2 linked regions of the Schizosaccharomyces pombe genome follow. The gene in region 1 interacts genetically with each later gene. Each region holds a gene or a part of one and is shown on either strand. Other genes may lie near its edges.

Evidence for each region. Genes that interact genetically often act in the same process or in processes that back each other up.
Region 2: mutations in ptp4 (region 1) and peg1 together harm fitness more than expected from each alone (negative genetic interaction), as found in Schizosaccharomyces pombe (one large-scale study listed by BioGRID).

Annotation. Positions count from the first base shown.
Region 1 is NC_003423.3:1,276,331-1,280,658, reverse strand, and holds ptp4 (phosphatidate cytidylyltransferase Ptp4), read right to left. Parts: upstream 2,315-4,328; 5' UTR 2,302-2,314; coding exon 2,226-2,301; intron 2,189-2,225; coding exon 1,950-2,188; intron 1,628-1,949; coding exon 1,286-1,627; 3' UTR 860-1,285; downstream 1-859. Other genes in the region: ribose-phosphate pyrophosphokinase Prs5, read left to right, coding at 1-757; mitotic spindle checkpoint protein Mad1, read left to right, coding at 3,600-3,711, 3,762-4,328. UniProt on the Schizosaccharomyces pombe protein: CTP-dependent diacylglycerol kinase that catalyzes the phosphorylation of diacylglycerol (DAG) to phosphatidate (PA). Controls phosphatidate levels at the nuclear envelope. Counteracts the activity of PA phosphatase ned1.
Region 2 is NC_003424.3:3,151,159-3,159,063, forward strand, and holds peg1 (CLASP family microtubule-associated protein), read right to left. Parts: upstream 6,175-7,905; 5' UTR 6,131-6,174; coding exon 6,082-6,130; intron 6,040-6,081; coding exon 5,972-6,039; intron 5,893-5,971; coding exon 1,621-5,892; coding exon of another isoform or gene 1,170-1,620; 3' UTR 1,098-1,169; coding exon of another isoform or gene 976-1,097; 3' UTR 922-975; downstream 1-921. Other genes in the region: tryptophan--tRNA (Trp) ligase Msw1, read left to right, coding at 168-467, 631-711, 794-921, 976-1,097, 1,170-1,624. UniProt on the Schizosaccharomyces pombe protein: Microtubule binding protein that regulates the stability of dynamic microtubules. Required for mitotic spindle formation.

The DNA of each region.
Region 1 (4,328 bases):
TGTATTCCCATATAGTCGTCAACCTGATCAAAAATTTTCCTTTTCCGGTGCTCCTTTATCTGACTTGCAAGATGCGGTTGTTCCATGCAAAAAGCAAACTGGTTATCACCCATGGATTGCACAATCCGGCACGCTAGTAGCTGATTTGCTTATGTGCTCTGGTGCTGACCATATAATCACAATGGATCTTCATGATCCCCAATTTCAGGGCTTTTTTGACATCCCTGTAGACAATCTTTTTGGCCGACCATTACTTAAACATTACATTTCTCTTAATATCCCGAATTATCATAACGCAGTAATTGTATCTCCCGACGCTGGTGGTGCCAAACGTGCTACTGCTATTGCTGATGCTCTGGGTTTGGACTTTGCTTTAATTCATAAGAATCGCCGACATGAATACGGAACATCTTTGATGCTTGTTGGTGATGTACAAAACAAAGTCGCCATCCTCATCGACGATCTTATTGATACCGCTTACACACTAGTTCGAGCAGCAGAGTTTGTCAAAGAACATGGAGCTAGCAAAATCTATGCTCTCGTCACTCACTGTGTTTTATCAGGAGATGCTATTGAGCGTGTAAAACTTTCTTGCATTGACAAGCTTATTGTTACAAACACCGCTCCTCAAACTATTACACCAAGTGGATGTTTTGACATAATCGATGTCGCTCCTACCTTTGCGGAGGCAATTCGTCGCATACACAATGGTGAGAGTATTTCAATACTGTATGACCACAATCAAGTTTGGGTTTAACTGTACGTTGTTCATATTATTTAATTTGTTTTGATCTAGTTGGCTTAAGACTATCCGATTTTTTTTGATACTATCAATTGTCCTTTTTCTTTACTTTAACTTTAGACAGTTACATTGGAAATAATTATTATTTACTTTGAGTTGACAAAATGATTATCAAGCTAATTTCCTAAAACTAATTTCAACTTAGCTAATCTCTAGTGTAAAACTGCTAAATATAAGGTTCTTCACGACCATTATATATGTACAAGCTATGTAGAAACTATATAGGCAGTCTAATTGCACGATTTCGTCATGTTTCATACAAAAAGCCTAAAATTGTCTGGGTAATGAAGCTTGTAGGTATTTCTATACATTTTAACAGTATGTACGCATACTGGTTAGACGGAAAAAAGATGAACAATAGAAATGGTGATAAATGGAGGAGCGAATCAACAAAACATAACTATATTCAATAATTTTTCAAACGTGGTCGGGAAAGGACGAATGGAAAAAACAAAAGAATGTCAGTATAAAAGAACATGGTTATCACATGATTAAATATAGTAAACAGGCAGAAACGACAGGAATTACAAGGTTATCGTCAAGACCCCACACATCCATAGCTTCTGCAAAGGCACCAATAAATCCATTTATCAAGCAAAGCCAAGGGAAAGGAATTCTGCTTTGAGCGGCCAAGCTGTCAGGACCGGTACGAAACAAGCCCCAGTACACATAGCAACAAAAAACACCACAAACGAATGCGCCCAAACTTCCAGCCAAACTCTTATTTTTGGCAATTTTCGGGGTATACTTGCCCCATTTTCGACCAACGGTTGAGGCAGTAGTGTCACACCATGACAGTAAAAGGACACTCATTACTGCTATCTCCTGAACTTAGTTAGTAACTATGGCATAATATATAAGTAAAAGAAGAAGGAAGGTGAAGTTAGGAAAAGATCAAGCAAGGCAAAGTAGATTTGAGTAATCATGATCAAAAATACTAACTTAAACTCTATGCAACAACAATATGCTTGGTCTGACAAATACTTAGAATAGAAAATCATTCTCCGTGAAAAAATGGGTTCTATAGAGTAGTATGTCCAGTAAAAAACAAAACCCTTCGGATCGCCTGGAACAAGGAAAACCATATCTTCCTTTTTCTTAAAGAATAATAACAGTAATGATAGACATTACAATGACTTTTACTTACCTCTGGAAAAACTTTTAAAACAATCCATACCCCGATCATATAAAAAATAACACCATTCCATGCATTTTTTTCGGACTCTCGCATCAAAGGACCAATAACGCGATTGTAAAGGCGGCTGAAAGCTGGCCAGTTAAAACGAATTACATCTCCAGTAAATGCAGGTATGAATCCAATTTCTATAACCGGTATGATTTGAGCAGCGTGGTATCCACATCCCTGAAGTAATAGAGCAAAAAATCCTAGACCCGGTTAATCCAAGTCATAAAAACAACTTACCAATAGAAGTATGGAGTGCTTTACGGGGAATTTCATGCTTTTTGGACCATTGCGACCACGTCAATTTAGTCGACATTGGATGAGTATTCGCTCAGTAGTGTTTTCCAATCTAAAGGTATTTCTAATGGGTAAAAAAAAAATAGCGATACCGGCCGTGATGCAAGGAATCGGTATATGCGAGGCAAGGAATGTTCTCGCATATAGCTCACTATTTTTTTATCGTTGCACTATTCCTCCTTATTCCGTAAACATTATGAGCTAAAGTCAAAATTAATAGAATGAATGACTTCCTGAGAGTCCCAAAAGAAACCGATTTATTTCCTTCATCAGTTGGAAAAAATTTATTTATTTATCACTGCCAATATAAGAGCTCGACTTCCTAGATGAATAGCATAGCTTTGAAAGTGATTCGCAGGATGACTCAGTATCAAAACGAATGGGTTATACACTATATGGCTTTAGATGTAAATATTCTTTAGATGATATATTAAGAGAATTAATAACTGCATCGACATACAGCCAATGCAGAATCATTTATAAGTCACTGAACCTTCAGAATAGCGCAACGTGGATTTCGCTACTTTACGAAACTTTAGATGCTATTGTGAGCTCTTACGTTTCGCTTTTTGTTGTCAAATATGGGAGAATTAATTGAAAATATAAAGACAATTCTCAAGTACGCGAAAGTTTCTATTAAAAAGTAAAATGATAACTTGAATATGTATGCTAATAAAATTCCTAAAAGAAACTGAAACCATTTTAGAGCTTATATCATTGCCAAGCAATTTTGAAAATTAAATGCGAAAACCATTATTCTTTAGTTGATGAACTAGAAGTAATAATTTTTATTTAATAATAATAAGTCTGCTCAAAATCAGGTTTATTTTCAGTTATTGGTTAATTGTTCAAATTGAAGTTTTATTAAAAAAAAAAAAAAAAAAAAAAAAAAAAACTATTATAATTTATGTTAAGACTACGTAAGTTCCTTAGGGTACGCGATTTGGTCTAGCAATTTAAATAAATAATAATAATATCAATATAAAAAAACTAGAAGACTTAAAAGCTTTTATGTTCACACGTGCATCGAAAATTGATTAAGGAATTCAACACATTAAATATATAATATAATAATAACAAGGTCTATGATTTAAAAAAAAAGAAAAAGTAATAAGTTCCATTAATTTAGATATCATTAAACAAGTATGTTGTTTGAGCATATGCAGTCAGTCCTACCTTTCTTTAATTCCCTGATTTCAATAAATTACTGAGATGCAATTTGTCCTCCATATTGTCAATATTATATTAAAGAGGTATACCAAAAATCAATTTCTCACTATGAGCTCCAAGCTGACAGTGTATCAAGCGACTACATCCATGGCGGATTCTCCTAGGGATCCGTTCCAATCGCGTTCACAGTTGCCTAGATTTCTAGCAACAAGCGTTAAGAAACCAAATTTGAAGAAGCCTTCTGTTAATTCTGCTAATGGTATGTGAAACTTATATTTGACGTTTGTTTATGGATCTGACACCCTGTAGAAACAAAAAATCCCAAACTAGCTTCTTTAGAATTTCAACTAGAAAACCTAAAAAATGATTTAAAGCGGAAGGAACTGGAATTTGAGCGTGAACAAATTGAGTTGCAAAGAAAACTTGCAGAAGAACATGAACAGAAGAATTCGTTACAGCTGCGTCTAACTCTAGTTGAAAAGCAACTGGAGGAGCAGTCTACTTCTTATCAAAAAGAAATAGAAGAAGTAAGAAATGAAAAGGAAGCCACTCAGGTGAAGATCCATGAACTACTTGATGCAAAATGGAAAGAGATTGCAGAGTTGAAAACCCAGATAGAAAAGAATGATCAAGCTTTAAGTGAAAAGAATCATGAAGTAATGGTCTCAAATCAAGCTTTGCAAATGAAGGATACCAATCTTACAAACCTTGAAAAACTCTTTGCGGATTCCCGCGAACAGCTTGAAACGAAGTGTAAGGAACTTGCGGCTGCCGAGCAGCAATTACAAGAGCTTTCAGTTCATAATCAGCAATTGGAAGAGTCCATCAAGCAGGTTTCTAGTTCTATTGAACTGGAAAAAATAAATGCTGAGCAAC
Region 2 (7,905 bases), on another chromosome or scaffold:
AGTGTAGCATTCGTTTCTACGGCCTTGTTCCTTTTTGAAAAAATTGTCTGCGAGCTGTAATCAGTTGGATTATAACACAGCTGTTTTTTTTTATTTTCATTACATTTATTCTTTATCTTTATTTATTTGTTCACTTTATAAACCAATTAAATAAAAAGTAATAAAGAATGGCTAAACTTCCAAAAATCACTTCTCTCCTTCCACATAGCAGAGTTGTTTCAGGTATTCAGCCTACTGGAATTCCTCACATTGGCAATTATTTGGGATCTCTAAAGCAATGGGTTCAACTACAAGAGGAAGCCGCTCGTACCCCATTCTCCAAATGCTTCTTCTTTGTTGCCGATTTGCATGCTTTAACCGTTCCGCAAGATCCTCTTAAATTTAGACAAGCCCGTCTCGATATGCTTGCTGCCTTGTTGGCCATCGGTATAAATCCTCAAAAATCAACATTATTTTTCCAGTCCGATGTAAGTATTTTATTAATTTAACCAGATTGCATGAACTTGCACGCGTCAAGTCGGTTGAGGTAGTTATATTCTTCGTAAGCCGATTTTTTTTTGGCTAAAGCTTCGATTTATGCAAAATTGTTTCCAATATTTTAAATTATAAAGAAAAAGCTAATTATTCAAGGTTGCACAACATTCCGAATTGGCTTGGCTACTTGCCTGTTCAACTTCTATGGGTCAATTAAACCGAATGACCCAATGGAAAGTAAGTCGGGCATCTATTTTAATATTCTACTCAACGAATAATTGGGTGCCCATTTTTTACGACTCAACTAACGAATTATAAGTCCAAACTTCATCTTCATGATCATGACGATCTTTCCTTTTTGGATGCAAGCGCTACGAGCTCCACCCGATTTAATCTCGGCTTATTTTCCTATCCTGTTTTACAAGCAGCTGACATTTTATTATATGGGTAAGAGAGAGAGAGGAACCATTCGTTTGTGAAATAAATTATCTAATTTTCTAGTGCTACTCATATTCCGGTAGGCAAGGATCAGTCTCAGCATGTTGAGCTAACAAGGTCCATTGCCCGTTCTTTCAATTCATCATATAAAGAAAAAATATTGACAGTTCCGGATATAATTTTGAGTATGTTTACTTTAGGTTATTTTATATATATAAATATAATTATTCCTCTCCAACTAACAAAACACCATATAGATTCTTCCAGTTCTATAATGGCTTTGTGCCAGCCAGAAAAAAAAATGTCAAAATCCGATATCAATTCCAAAAACTATATACTCCTCAGTGATTCAACTGGAGAAATCCGAAAAAAGATATCTCGCGCTCAGACGGACAATATAAAGGGAATTACTTATGGTGATTCTAATAGACCCGGCATTAACAATTTGATTAACATTTTCGCCGCTATTAGTGATTCTACCCCTTCAGACATTGCTCAAGCCAATGCTTCCTGCTCTAATGCTGAATTTAAAGAAAAAGTATCAAGTGCAATTATCAGATGCTTGCAACCTATTTCTACTTCTTTCAATGAATGGAGACAAAATAGGGAGTTACTTCGTGATATAGCTAAAAAAGGAGCAGAGGAGGCAGTAGCGGAAGCTTCTTCTTGCATGCATAAGTTGAAGACATTAACAGGTTTGAGCGTATACTAATTCTTTTCATCAGACTTCATCTTTAAATAATGCATGAAAAGAAGCCTTTGTCCTTCATTTAATCCTCCCAATATTGAAAACGTTTCATCAACATTGTTGACTATTGTATTCACCGCCAAACACACGTTAAAAGTTGCTTTTCTTATCTCAGGATTTGTATGATCTATGTATTTTAAAACCACATGTCTGAGTAAGTCTTTTGTCTCAAGAAACTCCAAATCTTTTAAACGCATCAGTATAGCTGACAGTAGCATCAGTAACAATGGAGCAGATTTCTCTCCGGTTTCCGTATTCAAGGATTGAAGCCTTTGTTGAGTAAATTCGTACAAGCCTTGTAGGTCCGCTATTTCTGCAATAAGTGTTATGTTATCCTCAATTCCTGCCAATATGACTGGTTCATCTTTGCACTTTTCTGCCTTTTCGATCAGGATGCAAATGATATTGTGATAAGTGTGCATATCCACACCTTGATATCCCTGAACCAAAAATTCATGTAATAATATTAAACAATCAGAAATGTGCATAGCTGAATTATTCGATTCGATATAATGTAATATAGCAGGCAAAAGCCCATGACTATGATACAACATTGAAGGTGTTTCTTTGCAAACCTTAATGCAAAATTTTAAAGTTTTGGTATTCACTGACCCATCATTCAGTTCTTTTACCGCAGCTTCCAATGCTGCTACTGCATCGTCCAAGTTTTTGTCAACATTTATCGGACTCCCATTTTCCATCTTGTGCATACGTGACAAAATCCATTTATTTTTCGGTAATACATTCAAGGTGTGATGAAGAGGAGTTGAATATGCTTGTTCCTGGTATTTATTACTTTCCGATTTATTCAAACTTTCATATGCAGGTATATCGTGGAGAACTGATTCATCTGCATCGATAGGCGATATTGTTCCTGTCATTGGTGACTCCACTGGAGACTCTAGAATACCACCTTTTATTTCTGAAAAGCTGAGACTGAAGTCATTCATTGGTGTATTCATATAATCACGATTGTTATAGATTAAGCTAGACTGACCCACATTTTCTCTCATATTTTCTGAATGTAATTCATGAACTGAATAAGACTGATCATGGATATCGTAATCTTTCGCAGGAGAACCCAGTATTTCTTCATTAGCTGGCATAAAAAAAGTAGTTGGTTTATTAGGAGTTGAACTTGTTAATAATAACTTGTCTTTCCCTGAACTTTGGTCCACACTATTCAAAGAATCTTGATTTACGTTATCCATAAACATCGCATTCAATCCCACTGACTCGTCGACATTCTCAGTTTTTTGAACATTGATATCGTCTTTTTTACTTAATGCGTTGACATAACTAGTGAGCTCAAAACCTGTCTCTCTTTCTCCATTAATCTCTTTGAACGGTGTCCTTGTAAAGTCTTTGAATGAAGAAGAAACAGAATTAGAAATCGGGCCGCTTACATGATCCAGCGTATCTTTATTCAAGACTTTTGCAGCAGAGGAAGATAATCCAAATTGATTCTCGAACCCTTTTTCATTTAAAGCATTATTTTTTTGCAATAAACTTTCAGAATCTTGAGCAAGTGTTTCTTTTTTATTTACGAGAGTTTGATCAATATTGTGATCATCCAGTGATTCTTCGGAACAATTTGACTCAACTGGATTTTTACCTTCTTCTTCATTTTCCTTTTCTAAAGAAGTACCTTGCGGCGATTCAATATGAGTATCTTTAGACAGTAGCCCCTCTTTGCTTTCTATTGGCGATTGCATCTCAGTCTCTTTGGTCTCACCTTTGCCATGTGGTACTAGCAAATCGGTTTGTGAAGAATTAGATGAAGAACTAGTATTAAGAGTTGGTAAATTTTTGCTTAAGTGTTCTTGATGTGTCGATGACTTAGAATAGTCGAAAGCATCCTGCTTGCTCCAAGAGCTTACCAACTTTGTTCTTGATTCCTCGTTTAATCTATCAAGTAAGCCATCAAACATGAAAGTATCATGAGCTCTTAAAGAAAAAAGTAATCCACTGAGTGGTATCCAATTTTTGGAAGTTAATTTTGTCTTAGCAGTCATAGCCAATATTTTTGAGGAATAGTATCTCAACTTATCGGTTACAAAAAAAGGTTTGTTTTCCAATTGATTCAACTTTGTATCACTGATTTCTTTGAGCCATAAAAGACAACCATGTATGATAAGTCTTTTTTGATTAGTATTAAAAGGGAATACTTTAACATGTGGAGCCATGTTTGAGATGTTCATCAAAACATCGAAGACTATTGGGAAGTATTTATGTGCATCGTAATGACTTTTGACATATGGGAATGAAGCAAGTGCAAAGGAATGTCCAACATTTGATGGGTCATAAACACAAAGGAGAAATTGGGAAAGTAATGAAGCAATGTCAACATATTGAAATGTTAAGTCTAATAAAGAGTGACTAAAAATAAGTGAGTAACAAATCGAGCTTCCACTATAAAGCGCATCTGTTAAGTTGGACGATAAGAATTCCGCAGAAGGTAAGTCAACGCTACTTCCAGATAAAATCAATTCATATTTTCTTTGTATATTCTTTAGTAATTCAAAGGTTTTGGATTCATCCTTTATAGTAGCGCTGACGGACCTTTTAGATGGTATGGCTATAGATGGTGAATGACCAGAGGGTAAAGAGGGTGGTAAGCTAGTAGAATGAAATGCCTGAGAACGAGTGTATGGAAGAACCCTCTCTCTTGAGGCAGGAGTTGCTCTTTGAGGAAGACCTAATCTTCGAGTTCCGGATGAATTAGAAGAATTAGAAGAAGTTTCTTCCTTTTGAGACTTACTGAACGAGCGCAAATTTGACAAAGGACGTATTGGTGCACGCTTAGGACCACTAAAATTAAAAGAAGCAGCTTGACGATTAGGGTTCGCCAAATGTAATTGTTTTAACACAGAAGGTTCAAGAGTGTTAGTCAACTCTTCTTGAACGGAAGGAAAATATTCAGAAAGCTTCCAAAACGATTTTCGATAAACTTCCCGTACTTGAGAATTGGAGTCAGCAAGTCCGCGACAAATCAGTTTTTCAAAAGCTTTCAAATTAGTTTGCAAAGATGCAAGGTTCTTTAACTCGGGAGATAAGGATATCAACATAAAAATCCAATTACTTGAGAAAACGCGAAGTTGAGCATTTGTATCATGAGCTGCTAAAGAGATAAAGGATAAATTTCGCGACAAGACTCCACAATTTACAAGAATGGCAGCAAATGTTACATTAGCGGCTTGAGATGCAAGTTTTTTCGTAACTGAGCAAACTTTTAATAGGTTTGGTAGAATAAGTTCTAAAAAGGGATCAATGTTGCTTTTTAATATGATGGCCATCTCTTTTATCAGTTGTATGGCAGAAGAACTTAGAGTTGTACGCAATGACAACAAAGCCAACAAAATTCCAGGCAAAAGAGTTTTAAGAACTGAAAGTAGTTCTGGAAGATAATCAATACATGCATTTCCCCTTAGATATTGACGAAGTCGCAAAACTGAATCCTGCCTGACCGACCAATTTTGTTCAGTCTCACGACCTTCAAAGGCAGGAAGCATAGAAGCACTATCTTGTTCAAGTTGTTTGGAAAAATTTGCCAACAATGGCTTTACATTCTCCAACTCTACTCCAGGGTAAAGAGTAGCTACGGCTGTCATGAAGGGTGCGGGCTGAAACGAAGATGCTGAATTTTGAACTATTATTACTTCGGAGGAAGACGATATGAGAGACAGCTCTTCCACTAAGCTTTGTAAGATCTCCCTTCGAAGACCCGAGGTAGTTTCAACATCGGTTATAAATTGCATTTTAGCTGAAGTAGATAGATTTTTGTAAATCAGTAACAAAACTTCTTTCGCCTCCTCTCGTACAGAAGGGTTGGCATTTTCTAGGTTTATATAAAGAGCGGGACGCAAAGATTTTACGTCAAAACTGAGATGAGCATTATGTGCAAGGACGAACCATTTGAAACACTGAATTCTGGTTTCGGCACTTTTACTTGTTGTTGAAAGATGTATAAGACTCTTCTCAATTTCAGATGGGTTAAAGTGCCATAAGTCAATTAAGATATTAAGAACACGCTTTTGTAAATCGCGAGAGGCTATGTGATCGATGACAAGATTTTTTAGCATAGGTACGCGAAACTTTAACCATGTAGGATATTGGGCACGTAAACGGCGTAAAAAAGTTTCAAAGCATGCAACAGAAGATCTAAGGAGTAAAGGGTTGACGGTAGTTAAAGCAAGTCTGAAGCATTCCACGAACAAACCGAGATCTGCATTCTACGGCAAAAAAGCATTAGTAAATGATATGAAATTTTCGAAAACTAAAGAATAAACTTCCTTGAAATAAAAAACTTACGGGAATGTTGTTTTTATTAAAGAAAGAGCGAAGGGTATCTAGACATCTCGTCTTTTCATCGGTGGATGCTAATTTGTCAGTATATAGATGAAAGCTTTAGAATTTCATACCATTACTTTTAAGGAACTTTAAAAAATCTTGCGCATCCTTATCCGCCATCAATTACAAATATATTGATGAAACGAGCGAAACAAGAGAAACGTGAAGCGTTGTTTGCGAAGAGAATATTAAAAACTCGCTAGTAAGGAGTTTAAAAAAGAGGGCTATATCTATTACTAAGTAATTGTGTATTTCAAGTCTGGGCATGTGATGCAGTGGTAGCATGCTCGCTTTGCATGCGAGTCGTCCTGGGTTCAATCCCCAGCGTGTCCAAATTTTTTTGTGTTGTAAACACAAGTTTGAAATGATAATAGAAAGAATGATGTTGCCGGAAAAATCTATAGTGCAAGATTAAAAACGCTAAAATTAGTTGGACCAGCAAATCAATGTGCTTGTTATATAGATGAAGTATATAAAGGTGTAAAACTGTTTACTGTACGGGTTGGGTTTGGAAGTAGTAGAGAATGAAGAGTGAGATTTGAAATATGGGATTGATAAAAAAGGCGAAACGTTGAAGGAGAAATTTAAAAGCTGTAAATCTTTACTTTACTACGAAAGTTTAAGCTGTGCGGAAAAATGAATTGATTGAAGATATATTTAATGCTGGGATGGGCGGTAAACAACACTATGGTCCTCTGGCAGTTTGAAAATAAACAATGCAAGGCAATACAGATCCCAAAGTGCACTTCTCTCGTTAAATAAAATAGCAATGGCTAAACCAAATTTACAAAAAGTAAAAATACAAGGAGCAATAACAGAATCGTATACTGGAATGAAAAGGGCAGTTTGAGGCCCCCACATAGTACTTTGGAGGTATTAAAAAAGGAGATTTGTTAGTATATGGAGAGTGGCGCCCACATAGGTCTTTTGGGGACAAGTTGGAGAGATGCAAGTTGGAAGATATGTGAATGAGGAAAGAGGAAATTGGTGGGAATCAACGTGCAAAGCTGAAAGTTAATCGAACAAGAATTTTTGAATTACTAATAATTGTGAAAAAGGAAGAAGGATTTATGGTGTTGTAATAAAGATTTATGATAATGAAATTGTGTTTCTACTCTTAGTATTCATTATTTTAAATTTAGTTTATATGGTTATTCATTTTCAAATTATGGGTATCAATTTTATTTTTATTTTTTTTCATTTTTATTTGATTTTTTTTCATTTATTTACCACTCTATATCGCTCAAAATTGAATATCTGCCAAGTTTTGGACCTATGCGGCATTCTTTCTACGAACCATTCAATTCTTCATACCTAACCCACTATTCATTTCTAACCCATTCTGTCTAAATAAACACAATGATAAAGATTAAACTCTTTCTAATCAAATTGTTGCAAATTCATTCTCAAATCGCTAAACACCAAACATATAAGGGAATAGCGTTCTTTCCACAACCCCCTAACCAAGTTTAACGAAAATCATTAAACACCATCCACTTTGCTATCTTTTGGCGATCCCTCACAAATACACACACTATCTTCTTAGCTGACGATCCTCATGCCGATCCTTGTGTGCGCTACTACTGGTCAAAACGCAACAACCATATCGTAAAAATTGTACATCATTAGTTATTAGTAATTGTTTTGGAATACGAATAATTAATTCTCCAACTCTATTCTTAAAACAACGAATTACACTGTACCGCCTTACATCGAAATTCAGAGGGTAGAACAGGGCAAAGCAAAGCAAGGCAGAGTAAAGCACAGTAGAGAGACAAAGGAGAAAGAGGAAAAATAGCATGAGGAAACACTTTCGCCCGACGTTCAACAGCCTCAATCATGCCTTTTCGTGCCACAAAACAAGGGGAAAGACATTCGTTCATGCCTTGCATAAT